4 linked regions of the Macaca mulatta genome follow. The protein of the gene in region 1 purifies or fractionates together with the protein of each later gene. This does not show direct contact. Links are inferred from orthologs where the notes say so. Each region holds a gene or a part of one and is shown on either strand. Other genes may lie near its edges.

Region 1 (4,191 bases):
ATGGAGTTGTTTTTGTTTTTTGTTTTTTTGAGACGGAGTCTCGCTCTGTGGCCCAGGCTGGAGTGCAGTGGCATGATCTCAGCTCACTGCAAGCTCCGCCTCCCCGGTTCAGGCCATTCTCCTGCCTCTGCCTCCGGAGTAACTGGGACTACAGACGCCCGCCACCACGCCTGGCTGATTTTTTCTATTTTTTAGTAGAGACGGGGTTTCACCGTGTTAGCCAGGATAGTCTCAATCTCCTGACCTCGTGATCTGCCCGCCTCGGCCTCCCAGAGTACTGGGATTACAGGCGTGAGCCACCGCGCCTTGCTTAATTTAGGTTTTCTATCATCCAAAATTTGTGCAGTCAATTTACTAGTCTTTCAGATTTAAAAACCACAAACATTACAATAAATACTAAAGCACCCACAGTAGCCAGACTACTAAGGCCATGGTTATTGTATTTTTGGAGTACATGTCAGAAGAAAAGGTCATAACCCATAGATAGGTATCTAGTGTGTGGGGTCAGCAGACACACCACACACAGCCAGGAAGGCTGAAGAGATTAGTCTCAACGCTGGGAAAGGCCTTTGAGATTCTTAGCTTGGGGTCCACGGTTGTACTTCAGGGACCCCAGAAACTCCCTGAGGTTATAAGCAAAATTCTATCGCTGCTTTTTGTCTTCAGAAAGCCTCATGGCTTTTGTCAAATTCTCCAAGGAGACTGTGACCTAAATAAAATATTTTTTTTAAATGCTTACGAGTCCTTGATCTAATTCCAGTATCTAGAGAAAATGGGAGCTGTGTTTGGCTCACACAGTAAATTTATGGCAGAGATGGGTATCAAAGCCCCACTCGTGACTACATCTGCGCTTTCTGCCATCCTGGGCGCTAGAGGGAATTGCGCTGCAATTCATTCAATTATTTCTCAGTCTCAGTAGATGACAAACCCCTTGCCCTTACCTCTGATTTAAGGTAAGATAATTTGGGCTGCAAGCAGGGTGCATCTTGGAGCGGGGAGACCTTGACATCAAACAGGAAGAGTCCTATCGGGGCAAGGAGACAGCAGCCCAGAGAGGCTGTCACCCAGAGTAGGTGTGCAGTCACAGTGAGGTCCCAAGGACTAAGGTCTGTGACACTAAGAGTCTCGGCTTCTGTGTAATCTCACCCAAGTCACTTCCCTGGTCTACGACCCAGTTTCCCAAATGTGTAAAGGGTCCTTTAGACCCCGCCCTAAAAGGTCAGGGGCGTGGCTTAAAGAGGACCGCGCTTCCCGGGCCCCGCCCCCAGGCTCTACGTCGTGCGTGACGCCCGCCGCCGCCTAAGAAGCGACGATGAGGTCATCGCCCTCCGCCTCGGGGGCGGGACCCTGGCGCGTCAGGGCGGGGCCTGTGGTCCAGCTCCGCTCTGCCACCGCTCCGCCCACGCCTCCTCGCCGGCCTTCGGGTGCGTCACGTGACGGGTTGGCGGCGCTGGCGGTTGCTGTCAGCTGATTCCCGGGGTTGGTGGCAGCGGCAGTAGCAGCAATGGACTTTCTCCTGGGGAACCCGTTCAGCTCTCCAGTGGGACAGCGCATCGGTGAGTCCCTGGAGCCCCCCACAGCTCCGCCCCGGTGCTCCGCACCCAGCTTCGGTCCCCTGGGAAGCCTCCGGGTGCCTAGTCACTGAGGCAGGGAGGGCAATGAGGCTGGCGTGTAGCTCTCCGACTTGGCCCCGCCCAGCTTTCCTCCCACTCTTGATTGACAAGAACTTGGGCCATTAGGAAGCCTTGGCTTGTGATAGATGTATACGACAGCCAGTAGATAAGGAGAGAGGGCGGGTCCGGATGCCCACCTCGCAGCCAATGTGTGTCTGCTGGGGTCCCGAATCGAGGGAGAAAGTTTTCGGGGTTAAAGGGACTGCGTGGTTGGCAGTGGCTGGGCCGCTGTGCTGGGTCCCGCCGCCTGGGCTTTGGCCAGCTCCTTTCTGGCTCTCCGGGCTCTCCGGACATGGACACCTGAGAAGGGCTAGAAGTCCATTCTCCCAGGACCGCGAAGCCTGGGGCTTGGCGTCTTGGGGGCGACTGGCCAGAGGGGACCCAGCGCCAGACAGCCCGCGGCCAGGCCTCACAGACCCGGATCTCAGGACGTGTCCGCCTGGGCTCTTATCTCGACCCAGCCTCAAATGGACCCGCACAGACTCTGAGAACCTGAGCAGAAAGTGGTCGGAGAAACCCTCCGGGTCAGCCCACCTCGGTGCTCCGTAGGTGGGGCAGCCCGGCGCTCGAGCCAAGCCGAGCCCAGGGCACCTGGCGCCTGAGTGCTGGTCCGTGGTTCTTTGCACCCTGGTGACAGGATACTTATAGTTCTATGACGCAGCCTCCCTGGGCGGAGGTTTCCTCACCTGTAATTGGCGGGTAATAATGGTCCTTACCTCCGTGGGCTTGTTGTGAAAATTAAATTCCTTAATAAATGTGAAATACTTAGAACAATGCCTGGTACGTGGCCAGTGCCATATAAAAAAACAGTTGTGATATTTATTAGCATTGGGCTGGGCGCAGTGGCTCCCGACTGTAATCCCAGCACTTTGGGAAGCCAAGGCGGGCAGATCGCTTGAGCCCAGGAGTTCGAGACCAGCCTGGGCAACATGGCGAGACCCCCGTCTCTACAAAAAAAAAAACAAAAATACAGAAATTAGCCGGGCGTGGTGGTGTGTGCCTGTGCTCCCAGCCACTCGGTAGGCAGAGCTGGGAGGATTGGTTGCACCTGGGAGGTCAGGGCTGCGTGAGCCCTGATGGCGCCACTGTACTCCAGCCTGGACGACGCAGGGAGATCCTATCTCTTGAAATACATACATACACACACCCACATTATATATAAATATACACATACATACATGTACATATACATACACATACATACATGTATATATTTACACACCCACATTGTTCCTGAGATACCACCAAGTGAAGGTTAGGAATCCCTGGAAATCACTGGGCAGTAGGTCTCATAAGTGCTCGTTCTTGGACACCAACACCGTGAGAACCGACATGCCTTGACCCAAACAGCCACACTTCTCCAGAGGATGGTCTGGGTGTTCCCCATTCTTGCATGAAGAAACCATCGCATTTCCGTGAAATCACTCTTTATCTTTTTTGATGATGACTTTTGGTCTTAAGTCCATACTGGGAAAACTTTAAGACGAGACATTCTTTCCATTCTTACTGTCTTGCCAAACCTCACGAAAGCTTGTCGACCCGGCTCTGTGTTGTAATCGCCACCGTGGCTGTTGGTGGCTCTTCCGAGGGTTTTGTAATCAGTGCTCTCCAAGGGGGAGGTGGCAGTCCAGGATTTACACACCAGGAAGCTCCTGAACCAGGGAGAGGAACTGCCCTCTCAAAGGACCCCCGACCTCCCCTAGACACACCCACCCCACAGTGAGTCATGGTTTTTTGGAGCTGAGAAAAGAAAGCAGCTCTCCTCTCATCTTTATTTCTCTGACTACAGAAACCACTGCTTTTATCACATGCCAAGTTTAAGACTTACTACTTAAAAATAAACAAGTAAATAAAAGACCCGGCTTCAAAGTCAGCCGCATACTCTTAAGGCTTTCTGGAAAGCTCACCTGGGTTCTGGATTTCAGCTAGTCAAAGCAAGCTTCTCTTCTTACCCTGAAGGGTTGCCTTTCTTGGGCAAGAAATACTCCCGTGCAAAGAGAATGCTATTAAATCATCATACCTTAGAGCACAAATAGAATTTTACAGCTAAAAGAGCTTTGCCTTTGGAATTTTCTAACCCAGTGGTTCTCAGCAGCATTCCTAGGAAGGCGTGTTAAAGCAAATGATATCTGGGCCCCAACTCCAGAGTTTCTGACCCTCTAGGTCTGCAGTGGGACTCTAGCATGTGAAAATCTTTTTTTTTTTTTTTCTTTTTTTTTGAGACGGAGTTTCGCTCTCATTGCCCAGGCTGGAGTGCAATGGTACAGTCTTGGTTCACTGCAACCTCCGCCTCCCGGGTTCAAGCGATTCTCCTGCCTCAGCTTCCCAAGTAGCTGGGATTACAGGCACGCGCCATCACACCCAGCTAATTTTGTATTTTTAATAGAGACGGGGTTTCTCCATGTTGGCCAGGCTGGTCTCAAACTCCTGACCTCAGGTGATCCACCCACCTTAGCCTCCCAAAGTGCTGGAATTACAGGCATGAGCCACCGCGTCCAGCCTAGAATGTGAATTTCTG
Region 2 (3,500 bases), on another chromosome or scaffold:
TCTGAGGTTCTCCCTCCGCTGCTTTCCTGGGTGGCTCCGAGGTGTGGTTAAGTTGGGGGTGGGCACCCGTGTCCCAGATGAAGACCCTGAGACCCCAAGAACGGGTAATACCCCTGGTGAGGGTCCCTCCCTGCTGTAGCCTGGGGTGGTCTGCGAGTCCCTGAGAGATGGGGCTTCCTCACTCCCCATCTCTGGCCTTTGGAGAAAAATGAAGCCTCCAACAGTGGCAGAAGGTGGCAGTGATGTAGAAAAAATTTGGCCTAGGAATGGGAGTCCCGGGTTGTGATGCAAGCTCCTCTCCAGACCATTCCCTCTCCCCTTGTGTCTGTGCAGCCAGAGGGTGGACGAGGCGTGCTGGGGTTCCCTTGGCTCCAGTCTGCAAGAGCTGAGCTCCCACCAGGCACTTAGCAGCTGGTTATCCCGTCTGCTGCCGCCCCCGCCCCTTCCCCTCGCCCCCGCCGCCGGCCACCCGCCCAAAATAGAAAAGGAAAGGAAGTTATTTCCATAGTCAGCTGCAGCCCGGAAAAGCTCCCCTCCAGTGAGGGGGCGGGCGGGATTCCTGGAGCTGGAGACCAAATCAAAGCCAGGCCCGAGAGAGCGAGAGCGGCCCCCACCGCCCGGCCCTCGGCTGCCTTCTCAGTGTGCCGTTTCCCTGACTCAGCGGAACACGTGTCCTGCGGTTGCCACGCTGCAGGCTGCCATGGAGCTGTGGGGAGCTCCTGGCTGGGCTCCGAGCTGCCCTCAGGCCCAGGGCGGTAGGGCGGGAGCCTGGGGGTCAGGGAGGGTGTGTGTGCCACCCCCTCTTCCTCTACTGCCTTGCCCAGCTGTTGGCTCTGCCATGGCACGGAGCTCCTGCCACACACACACCAGGCCTGGAAAGAGTGGTCCCAGAGCACCCTGAGAGGGAGATCCCTTCCACACTCACCTCTCCACACACTTTTCAGAACACTGCTCAGGACATGGCCTCCTGAGGGGCTCCCCAGTACCTGGGCAGGGAGGCAGCAGTTTCTAGCTAAGGAAACCGAACCCGAGAGGGGAACAGGGGCCCACCTAAGACTACCCCGCCGGCTGATGGTTGAGCCAGAACTGGAGCTTGGATCTGCTTTACCCTCTGTACGGATCCTGGCGTCCCCATATGCCCCCTCTTCAGCAAACCAACATGCAGCAGGCTGTGCTGTTGGTGGCTTATGTGTCTGTTCCTTTGGACCATACCTGTCACTCAGCACCGTGAGCCTGGCACTGTGTAGGTGCTAGCATAGAAGCATGAAAGGATACAATCCCTGCTGTCTTTAGGGCACATTTGTAAACATCTATAGCTAAATCCACAGAGTTCCACATGTGCACCATGGACAGACAGCGCTGAAGGTCTAGAGACCTGGGCGGGCATGTGACTGGACAGCATGAATGGCTGGGGAGTTCGCTGAGGCCGGTGGAGACATCTCCAGTGATGACACAAAGTGATGGGCCTTTGTTCTGGGGGCAGTGGAGGCCATGGGAATCTCTGAGCAGGATCTGACCTGCCTGAGGACCTGGTGTGATGGGGCCAGGAGACCTGGGGTTGGGCTTAATGACTCCCTCTTCCCTGTCACCTCCCATCCCCTAGTATCGACGTGCTGAGCTCTGCAGCCCCTACAAGCCAGAGACGCTATCGGAACTGGAACCCACCACTACTGGGCAACCTCCCGGATGACTTTCTCCGCATCCTCCCCCAGCAGCTGGACAGCATACAGGTAACAGGGGCCGCCCCCGCCTTCCACTCCCACCTGCCTGTCCAGCATCTCTCTTTGCCCACACAATTTGTGCCAGCCAGTTTTACTTCCTGATGTTTAAACCCAGGCTGAGCTATTTCTGTTGCCCTGGGTTCGTAGGGAAAGAATGCTGAACTGAAAGCCTCACTTCCTGCCTGGGTCTGGAGGTTTCCTGTTCTATCCAGGGAAGGTGGCAGCCTAAGGAGGCTGTCTGCTGCAGCAGTCACCTCAGGCTGGAGAGAGGCGGGCATGGGGTGGCCAATGGTGGAGGGCCAGAGCACCCCCCTTCCTCCCTCGGGAAAGGGCCAGAGGCAGCTTCTCGATAGATGTTGGCATGCTCCAAGGTGCCCCACAGCGGGGCAGGTCCACCCTGAGGCTGCCGGTGCCGGGAGAGGGTTGAGTTTGGGAATCCACGTATAGGCTGTTCCACAGTTTGCAGATTTCTTTTCAGGACTGTTCAGGTTGTAGATGAAGGTATGAGGTGGTCCGTGGCGTGGAGGAAAAATAGTTTTTAGGCTACTGCTGTGTCCCCTGCAATGAGGGCTCTGACCTGTCCGTTGGATTTTGGCTTGCCACTAGGTTCCATTAGGAGGTGTGAGCCTCAGGTGAGGGCTAGAGGATCTTGGACAGGGCGTGTGTGCAACCAGAGGGATGTGGATGTTTGTGCAACATGTACCCTTGTGTGTACACGTTCAACATGCTCGCCTCCCTCCTCAGGGTAATGCTGGGGGCCCCAAGCCTGGGAGCGGAGACGGAGGTCCACCTGCCATGACTGGGCCAGGGCCCCGAGACCAGGAGAGCCGCTGGAAGCAGTACCTGGAGGATGAGAGGATCGCGCTTTTCCTACAGAACGAGGAGTTCATGAAGGAGCTGCAACGAAACCGCGACTTCCTCCTTGCCCTGGAGAGAGGTGGGCAGTGCCTGCAGCCACTTCTCCCTGGCTGAAGAAGGGAGGTGATGCTGGCTTTAGCCTTGGGGCTCAGGAAAGCACTGAGCTGGGGGCTGAGGGGCCAGGTGCTTTCTGTCCTACTGAGCCTTGACTCCCACCAAGTTATCCCATGGGAGCCTCAGAATTCTGCCTATGGGGACCTGGGTCACTAACCCACCCCTTTCTCCCTCGGGACTCAGAGGAAGAAGGGTGTGCACTCTTAGGCCTTCTTCCCTTTGCACACCTGCTCTGTGCCAGGAACTGGCCTTGGCACAAGGCAGCAGGGAGAAGAGCACTGCCCCTCCTCACAGAGCCCCAGCCCCAAGGCAGGCGTGATGTGTCTGGAGCTCCGGGAACAGAATGACTGGGTTCGTGAACGCCAGGGTTGGGGAGGCTCTTGAGTGGAAGACCTTAGAGCAGGGGCTCTGGAACTTTGCAGGTATTTGGGTTGTCTCTGGGTTGGAGACCCTGCTCCCCAGCCTGGCTACCTTTCCCCTGCAGGGTGGGAGTGCGTTTGGGATAGAGGAAATGAGAGGGCGGTGGAGCTCTGTCCCTGTGATGGCCACAGCGTGAGAGCTTGTGTGTGTAACTGATGGTGTGTTGGTGGGGGAGGAGCAAGTTGTGCAGGGAGAAGGCTGGGCTGAGGCCCAAGGTTAGCCCCAGCTCTGCAGCAAAGGTGCTGGAAGGCTCAAGGCCTTTCCGTTTATTATTTATTTATTTATTTTTTTGAGACAGAGTCTCCCTCTTGTCGCCCAGGTTGAAATGCAGTGGCTCAATCTCGGCTCACTGCAATCTCCGCCTCCCAGGTTCAAGTGTTTCTCCTG
Region 3 (3,112 bases), on another chromosome or scaffold:
CTAAAAAATTAGAAATATTTTCCTAACAGATTTGAACTGAAAGTTGAAAGAAAAACCAATTGTTTTTACATGCAAAATGATTATCACTCCTTGTTAAGAGAAATATGCATTAAAATAACACCGGGGGCCAGGCGTGGTGGCTCACACCTATAATCCCAACACTTTGGGAGGCCGAGGCAGGAGAATTGCTTGAGCCCAGGAGTTCAAGACCAGCCTGGGAAACACAGTGAGACCCCATCTCTTTAAAAAGTAATAATATTAATAGTAACGCGGTATTATTTTTTACCTATCAAATTGTCCAAGTTCAAAAGTTTGATTATATACTTCTTTGATAAGGATGTGGGGGAGGCCAGGTGCCGTGGCTCACATCTATAATCCCAGCATTTGGGAGGCCAAGGTGGGCGGATCACGTGAGGTCAAGAGTTCAAGACTGGTCCAGCCAACATGGTGAAACCCCATGTCTGCTAAAAATACAAATATTAGCAAGGTGTGGTGGCACATGCCTGTAGTCCCAGCTACTTGGGAGGCTGAGGCAGGAGAACTGCTGGAACCCAGAGGGTAGAGGCTGCAGTGAGCCAAAATCATGCCACTGCACTCTAGCCTGGGTGGCAGAATGAGACTCTGTCTCAAAAAAAGGATGTGGGGGAAAGAGCTCTCATAAATTGCTGGAGAAAATAAATATAAATTGACATAACCTCTATATGCGATAATATGGTAACATCTATTGAGTATATACTCAGGCCTGGAAATTCTACTCAGAATTCTTCTTATAGATATACTTATACTATGTAAAAGCAAAATATTGTGGACAACCTGAATGTCTATCAACATATATCAAATATGCACGAATAACGAGTTAGATAAATTATGGTACATTTATATAATCAACTACTATGTCACTTTAAAAAAAATGTATACTAGTACTAATACCTTTAAGATATATTAAAGAAGGTAAAAAATCTGTAAAAGGGGGAGATGAAAAAGGAGGACACACACTTATTTGCTTGTACATGCATAAAATCACAAAGAATACATAAGAAATGAGTAACACTGATTGCTTGGCCGGAGAGGGAGGATAAAGAAAAGTATGGAGGTGAACTGATGGGTTGGATGTCAACAGTAGGAAAGACATTTCCAAGGCTGTTGCCTTATACAACTCTACTGGGAACCATTTACATTGTAGTCTGGAGTTATTATCTTGAGTCCACCAGTTACATAGAATACAGTGTGAATGCTGCTCTCTGCAAATATTCAGTGAGGTGGTCCTGTTATATATACACTTTTAGACTTTTAAGATTTTAAGTCATGTACATATAGAATCTAATCAGAATAAGTAAATTTAAAAACCTACCTATAAAAGGCAGAGTAGTCATGGAGAAGGGTTCAGTAAACTATGGCCTACAGGCCAAACTTGGCCCCACTGGGTAAACAAAATTTCACTGGAACATAGCCACACTTATTTGTTTACATACTGTGAATGGCTGCTTTCCCAATATAACGGTAGTGTTGAGTAGTTGTGAAAGAAACCATACTGCCTACAATGTCCAAAATAGTTACTGTCTGTCCTTTTATGAAAAAAGTTTGCTGACCCCTGTTGTGGAGATTAATACAGATAATATATGTGAAGTGTGTAGCACACATTTGATGCTCAACAATTTTCATTCTCTTTCATCTCAAAAGGTTGAAGAAAAACTTCACTATTTTAATATGCAATACATTCATTTCAAAAATACATCACAAAAACAGGCCTCACCATATCAGTGTCAGTGGAAACTCTGAGTCCAATTTTATTCATCCCATTACTCTTCAGAGTTTTCAGGTGAGGGCACAGGGCAGCACTACAAGCCATGGCTATTTCTTTTGCAAACTGATAACAAGTTGATAAAATAGATAAATCCTGTTCCTTTAGAAAGTAGAACACCTGAAATATATTTAATTAGGCAACAAGTCATGATTAAAATTAAAAGTAACTTTAAAATGCAACAATTGCTGCTTTCAATTCAAGTTTAATTAAATTCCAATGTAAAGTACCACGAAAATCATTAGTTGTGAGAATTCAATATCAATAGCTTGATCTGTACTATAAGTAAAAACATAAAACCAAAAGTTATGGTAAATATGGAAACGTCTCAGCAATTTTTGCCTGAAGTTAATTTGTAGCAAGGAAAGCCTTATTAAATCAGTATGAGTCTATCCTGTAAAGAACACCTATATGAAGTTAAGATAAAACAAATCATGTTCCATTGTGCTTATTTTCTCTATAGGTTCTATTTTGCACATGTAATAAAATCACAAAGAATGCGTAAGAAATAAATATGAGGGGGAATAAGGAGGTAGACTAAGGAGTTGGGGGTCTATAGTTTCATATCCTCTAATTTAAAGAAAATACTAAAGCATGAAAAAATAACTTTCATATGTGAATGCTGATTATAAATAAATGACAATAAAATATCTTATTTTTCATAATATCTGAGGAAAATGAAAATATGGTCAAGTAACATTAATTACAGTACTAAGATGGCAATGCTGCCAACACAGATGGTAGGCAGTACCACCATTTGATAGCCTGAACTAACCCTATGGAAACCAATTCTGGTGTATAAAAGTCTGGGGTGGAAATGTGTGTGTCTCAAAGTGTAGCATAAAAAGTATAATAAGCTATGCATAAATATTTAGAGATTGAGTATGCACAATCTCCAAAGAACAAAAATCATACTGAAACACAGCATGTAAAGGGACCTTCTTCCTTAGCTACCTCGGTACACTTTACAATCTTCTCATCAGTTTCAAAATCTGCTTCCAGTTTTATTTTTTCACTTGGAAATCCTTGTAATGACATTCCATCCACTGAACTGGTAACACTATGAAATAAAACATAATACAATAGAATTATTGGCACTAATGTGTTTTTTGAAATGAATTATTAGATGTGAACAGACGGAATAAGAGAAAAAATATAAAAGAAGATATCTCCATTATATATAAAATAATTAAATCTGTAGTTCATATTCATTTACCAAGATTTCTTGATTGTGTAGTAATCTTTTTTTGTTCATCAATAAATTATATCTCCTTTTTCATATGCCCAATTCAGACCTGAAGTTTAAAATAC
Region 4 (3,500 bases), on another chromosome or scaffold:
GCTCATAATCCACATCCACACCCCTACTATATCAGGCTTGCACCTAATTCACAAGTGTGGAGGGGAAATCTTCATCTGATTAGATCCCATGGGATATGCAAACCTAAGGCAGTACCATCCTAGTACCCAGAGGATTATTTTTTATGTCTTTACTAGAGGATTTTTTTAAAGCTCAAGAATGTGATAATTAAATGATAGCAGTTAACTTCATTTTGCCTTCCATATATATGTAACTCAAATATTAAAATCCAAAGCTAAAGAAGTTACAATTTAAGCATAAAAGCTGAGGACTCAATAAAAACAAAAATCATGTAAGAATCTAGTAGTATTAACACAGGAACAGAAAACCAAATACTGCATGTTCTCACTAGTAAGTGGGAGATAAATGATGAGAACACATGGACACAGGAACAACAGACACTGGGGCCTACTGAAGGGTGGAGGATGGGAAGAGGGAGAGGATCAGGAAAAAAAACTAATGGGTTGTAGGCTTAATACCTGGGTGACGAAACAATCTGTACAACAAACCCCCATGACACAAGTTTACCTATATAACAAACCTGCCCATGCACCTGAACTTCAAAGCTGAAAAACAACAAAAAACCCCCAACACCCCCTGCCCCCAAAAGAATCTGGTAGCAGTTTTTTTTTTTTTTTTTTTTGGAAGGAAATAGTAATGATACTCACAGAAGGAAGTGAATCAGTAGTATGGGTACACTAGTCAAGCATAGAGTATCAAATCTTTCTCATCTGGAGGGGTTTTTTGATACCAGAAAGTTTTGGTCCAAACATAGCATACTAGCTAGGTTACCCAGAATATTCATGATGGCCAAAGACATTATAAAGCTACACTTTTTTGAAAAGTGTATCTTTTAATCTAAAATGTAGAGCAATTTCAACATTTTGACTACCTCATTACACTAAAATCCCTAAGGGTTTTGCTATTTCATCTAGAGCCCAGGTAGTAAATTCTTCAAAAGAACAATCTGCCAGTGCAACCACAGGCACAAATGATGATGGTCTGGGAGCAGGAAAAGCCTACTTTTTGTACTGTATTCTACAATAAACATTTTGGTTTCACTTGTAATTTAAAATTCTTCCAAGACAAAAAATACTTCAGCACTTTCTATAAAGTCTCAGGAATCATTTTATATATATATATAAAATACACACACACACATAATAGGCAGTGAGAGAGCAGTAATCTAAGTGTTCTGTAGTTTTCCTGGTCTTTTAGAGATAGCTATCAACTTTAAAGTTTTATTTCCCTCACAAAGTAACTGGTAGAATAAAGCTAAAGCTAAGTTAAACATTAAACAAAATTAACTGCCCTTAGGGATCTTCTAGAGTTCAGAATGTCTCGACCATTACTCCTCCCTGCAACACAGGTGGTCCTTACTTCTCTATAACTCATTTCATGTATCACAAAGCTGAGCATTTTGTTTGATCTTATCTTTAATTTATGAATTATATATGAAAAATATTTTAGTTTCTAGAGTTGGGCAAACTTGATGAAAGAGGTAAGCCTATACATTCCTTAGATAACAGATCCCTTTGCCTACCATAGAGGCTCCTCAAAATGGTATGAAGAGCAAGCTGATGTTAATATTCAAAAGCCTAAATGATTCTCAAATGACTCTGAAAGTATATAACCACTTTTCTAAATTTTTCCATCCAAAATTAAAATAAAGGAAATTCCTTTGAAATAATGCTATTTTTTTTCTTCTTTTAAACAGATGGTCATTCTTACTCACCGATTTCCTTCCGTATTTCAAAGGAAACCACAGAGTATTATGTTTGGAAGAAATAATCCAGCACACAACTTAAGAATGCTAACAATTTCACATTTAGGGAAAAAATATTTTTGAACTACGACCAAACCCTTGTAGAACTGCTAAACTGGAATCCAACCAGAAAACACGTTACTCAAAACCACTTACCTTAAGAAAATTCTTGACTCGCTCAGGATCATAGCAGTTGCTTTCTCTACAGATTCTTTCTACTTCTTTGATTTGCCCAGTCTTGCAAGCTGCCTGAATGTATTTAAAGTGCACATCTGGGTCCTGACTAAAGTTAACAATGGATCCCAGAAAATAAAAGAGACCTTAAAGAAACAAGTAATTACAATTAAGCATAGGCACACTTTTGAGAATGACTGAAAAGCATTTATGCAATTAAAAAACTGTTACATTGAATACTCCCAAATATAAGTTGGTTGCTTAAAAAGCTCGATAAAAATACTAATTATTCCATTAATCAGATCAGTAAAATGGATTTGCACTTTAATCCTAAAGAACAGACAATTCAACCCAATGTTTCCTTTTTTTCTTTTTTATTGAGGCAGGTCTCTGTCACCCAGGCTGGAGTGCAGTGGCACGATCATAGCTCACTGCAGCCTCAAACTCCTGGGATCAAGCAATCCTCCTACCTCAACCTCCTAAGTAGGTAGGTGCATGCCACTATGCCAGGCTAATTTTTAAGAAAATTTTTGTAGAGATGGGGTCTTGCTGTGTTACCCAGGCTGGTCTTGAATTTGTGGCCTCAAGCAATCCTCCTGCCTTGGCCTCCCAAAGCACTGGGATTATTAAAGGCATATACCACTGTGCCCCTATATGGGAAATTTTAAATGAAGACCCCAATACCTGGTGTTTTTCAATATGCAGTTTATAGGAAACATACAAAATAATTTGGGAAGAATTTAGTGCAGTATTGTCCAGAAGAACTTTCTGCAATGATGAAAATCTTATCTTTGCCCCCCGATGTAATAGCCACTAACCACACGTGGCTATTAAGCACTTGAAATGTGGCTAGAGTGACTGAATAACTAAATATTAAATTTTATTTAATTTTAATAACTTTCAATGTAAATAGCTGCTATATGTGGCTAGTGACTGCTGTACTAAACAGTGTAAAACTGTGAAAATTAAGAAAACATTAAGAAAACTAGTAGACTCTCTTACCCCTTCTCAATAGAGCACTACTACTACAAAGAGGAGAGAAAGGCAATTGAGGACCAGAACTTAGCCACCCAACAGTGATTACGTTAGTTCCCTGCATAGCAGTGGTTCTCAACTGAGGTGATTTTCCTCACAGGTGACACTGGCAATGTCTGAAGACATTTTTGGTTGTCACAACTGGTGGAGCTGACGCTACTGGCATCTAGTGGGTAGAAACCAGGAATGCTGCTAAATATTCTACTAAATATTCTACATCTACAGGAATACCCCTCTACAATGATTATCCAGCCTTAAATGTCTATAGTACTAAGGTTAAGAAATTCTGCTAAATAGCAACAAATCACAAAATGCCCTTGGCGAGAATCACCTGCTATTGTAAGAGTCAGACATATAAGCATAAAATGTTATTATACCCGATCATTAGTACAGATTGAGTATCCCCTATCCAAAATACTTGAGACCAGACATGTTTCAAATTTTCAACTTTGGAATATTCGCTTTATAATTACCTGATCAGCATCCCTAATCTGAAAATCCAATTTC

What was found. The genes of interacting proteins can lie anywhere in the genome.
Region 2: the proteins of TOM1 (region 1) and CUEDC1 purify together in Homo sapiens (co-immunoprecipitation; 3 studies listed by BioGRID and IntAct, with this or other methods). This does not show direct contact. The link is inferred for Macaca mulatta from reciprocal best matches to the Homo sapiens genes TOM1 and CUEDC1.
Region 3: the proteins of TOM1 (region 1) and ZFYVE16 purify together in Homo sapiens (affinity purification with western blotting; 3 studies listed by BioGRID and IntAct, with this or other methods). This does not show direct contact. The link is inferred for Macaca mulatta from reciprocal best matches to the Homo sapiens genes TOM1 and ZFYVE16.
Region 4: the proteins of TOM1 (region 1) and CLTC purify together in Homo sapiens (affinity purification with western blotting, with the first as the bait; 3 studies listed by BioGRID). This does not show direct contact. The link is inferred for Macaca mulatta from reciprocal best matches to the Homo sapiens genes TOM1 and CLTC.

What each region holds. Positions count from the first base shown.
Region 1 is NC_133415.1:16,241,390-16,245,580, reverse strand, and holds the start of TOM1 (target of Myb1 membrane trafficking protein), read left to right. Parts: upstream 1-1,391; 5' UTR 1,392-1,504; coding exon 1,505-1,556; intron 1,557-3,865; exon of another isoform or gene 3,866-4,191.
Region 2 is NC_133421.1:52,116,470-52,119,969, forward strand, and holds part of CUEDC1 (CUE domain-containing protein 1), read left to right. Parts: intron 1-1,603; coding exon 1,604-1,730; intron 1,731-2,465; coding exon 2,466-2,658; intron 2,659-3,500.
Region 3 is NC_133411.1:86,801,680-86,804,791, reverse strand, and holds part of ZFYVE16 (zinc finger FYVE domain-containing protein 16), read right to left. Parts: intron 2,862-3,112; coding exon 2,756-2,861; intron 1,922-2,755; coding exon 1,754-1,921; intron 465-1,753; exon of another isoform or gene 287-464; intron 1-286.
Region 4 is NC_133421.1:50,315,859-50,319,358, forward strand, and holds part of CLTC (clathrin heavy chain 1), read right to left. Parts: intron 2,105-3,500; coding exon 1,941-2,104; intron 1-1,940. UniProt on the Homo sapiens protein: Clathrin is the major protein of the polyhedral coat of coated pits and vesicles. Two different adapter protein complexes link the clathrin lattice either to the plasma membrane or to the trans-Golgi network.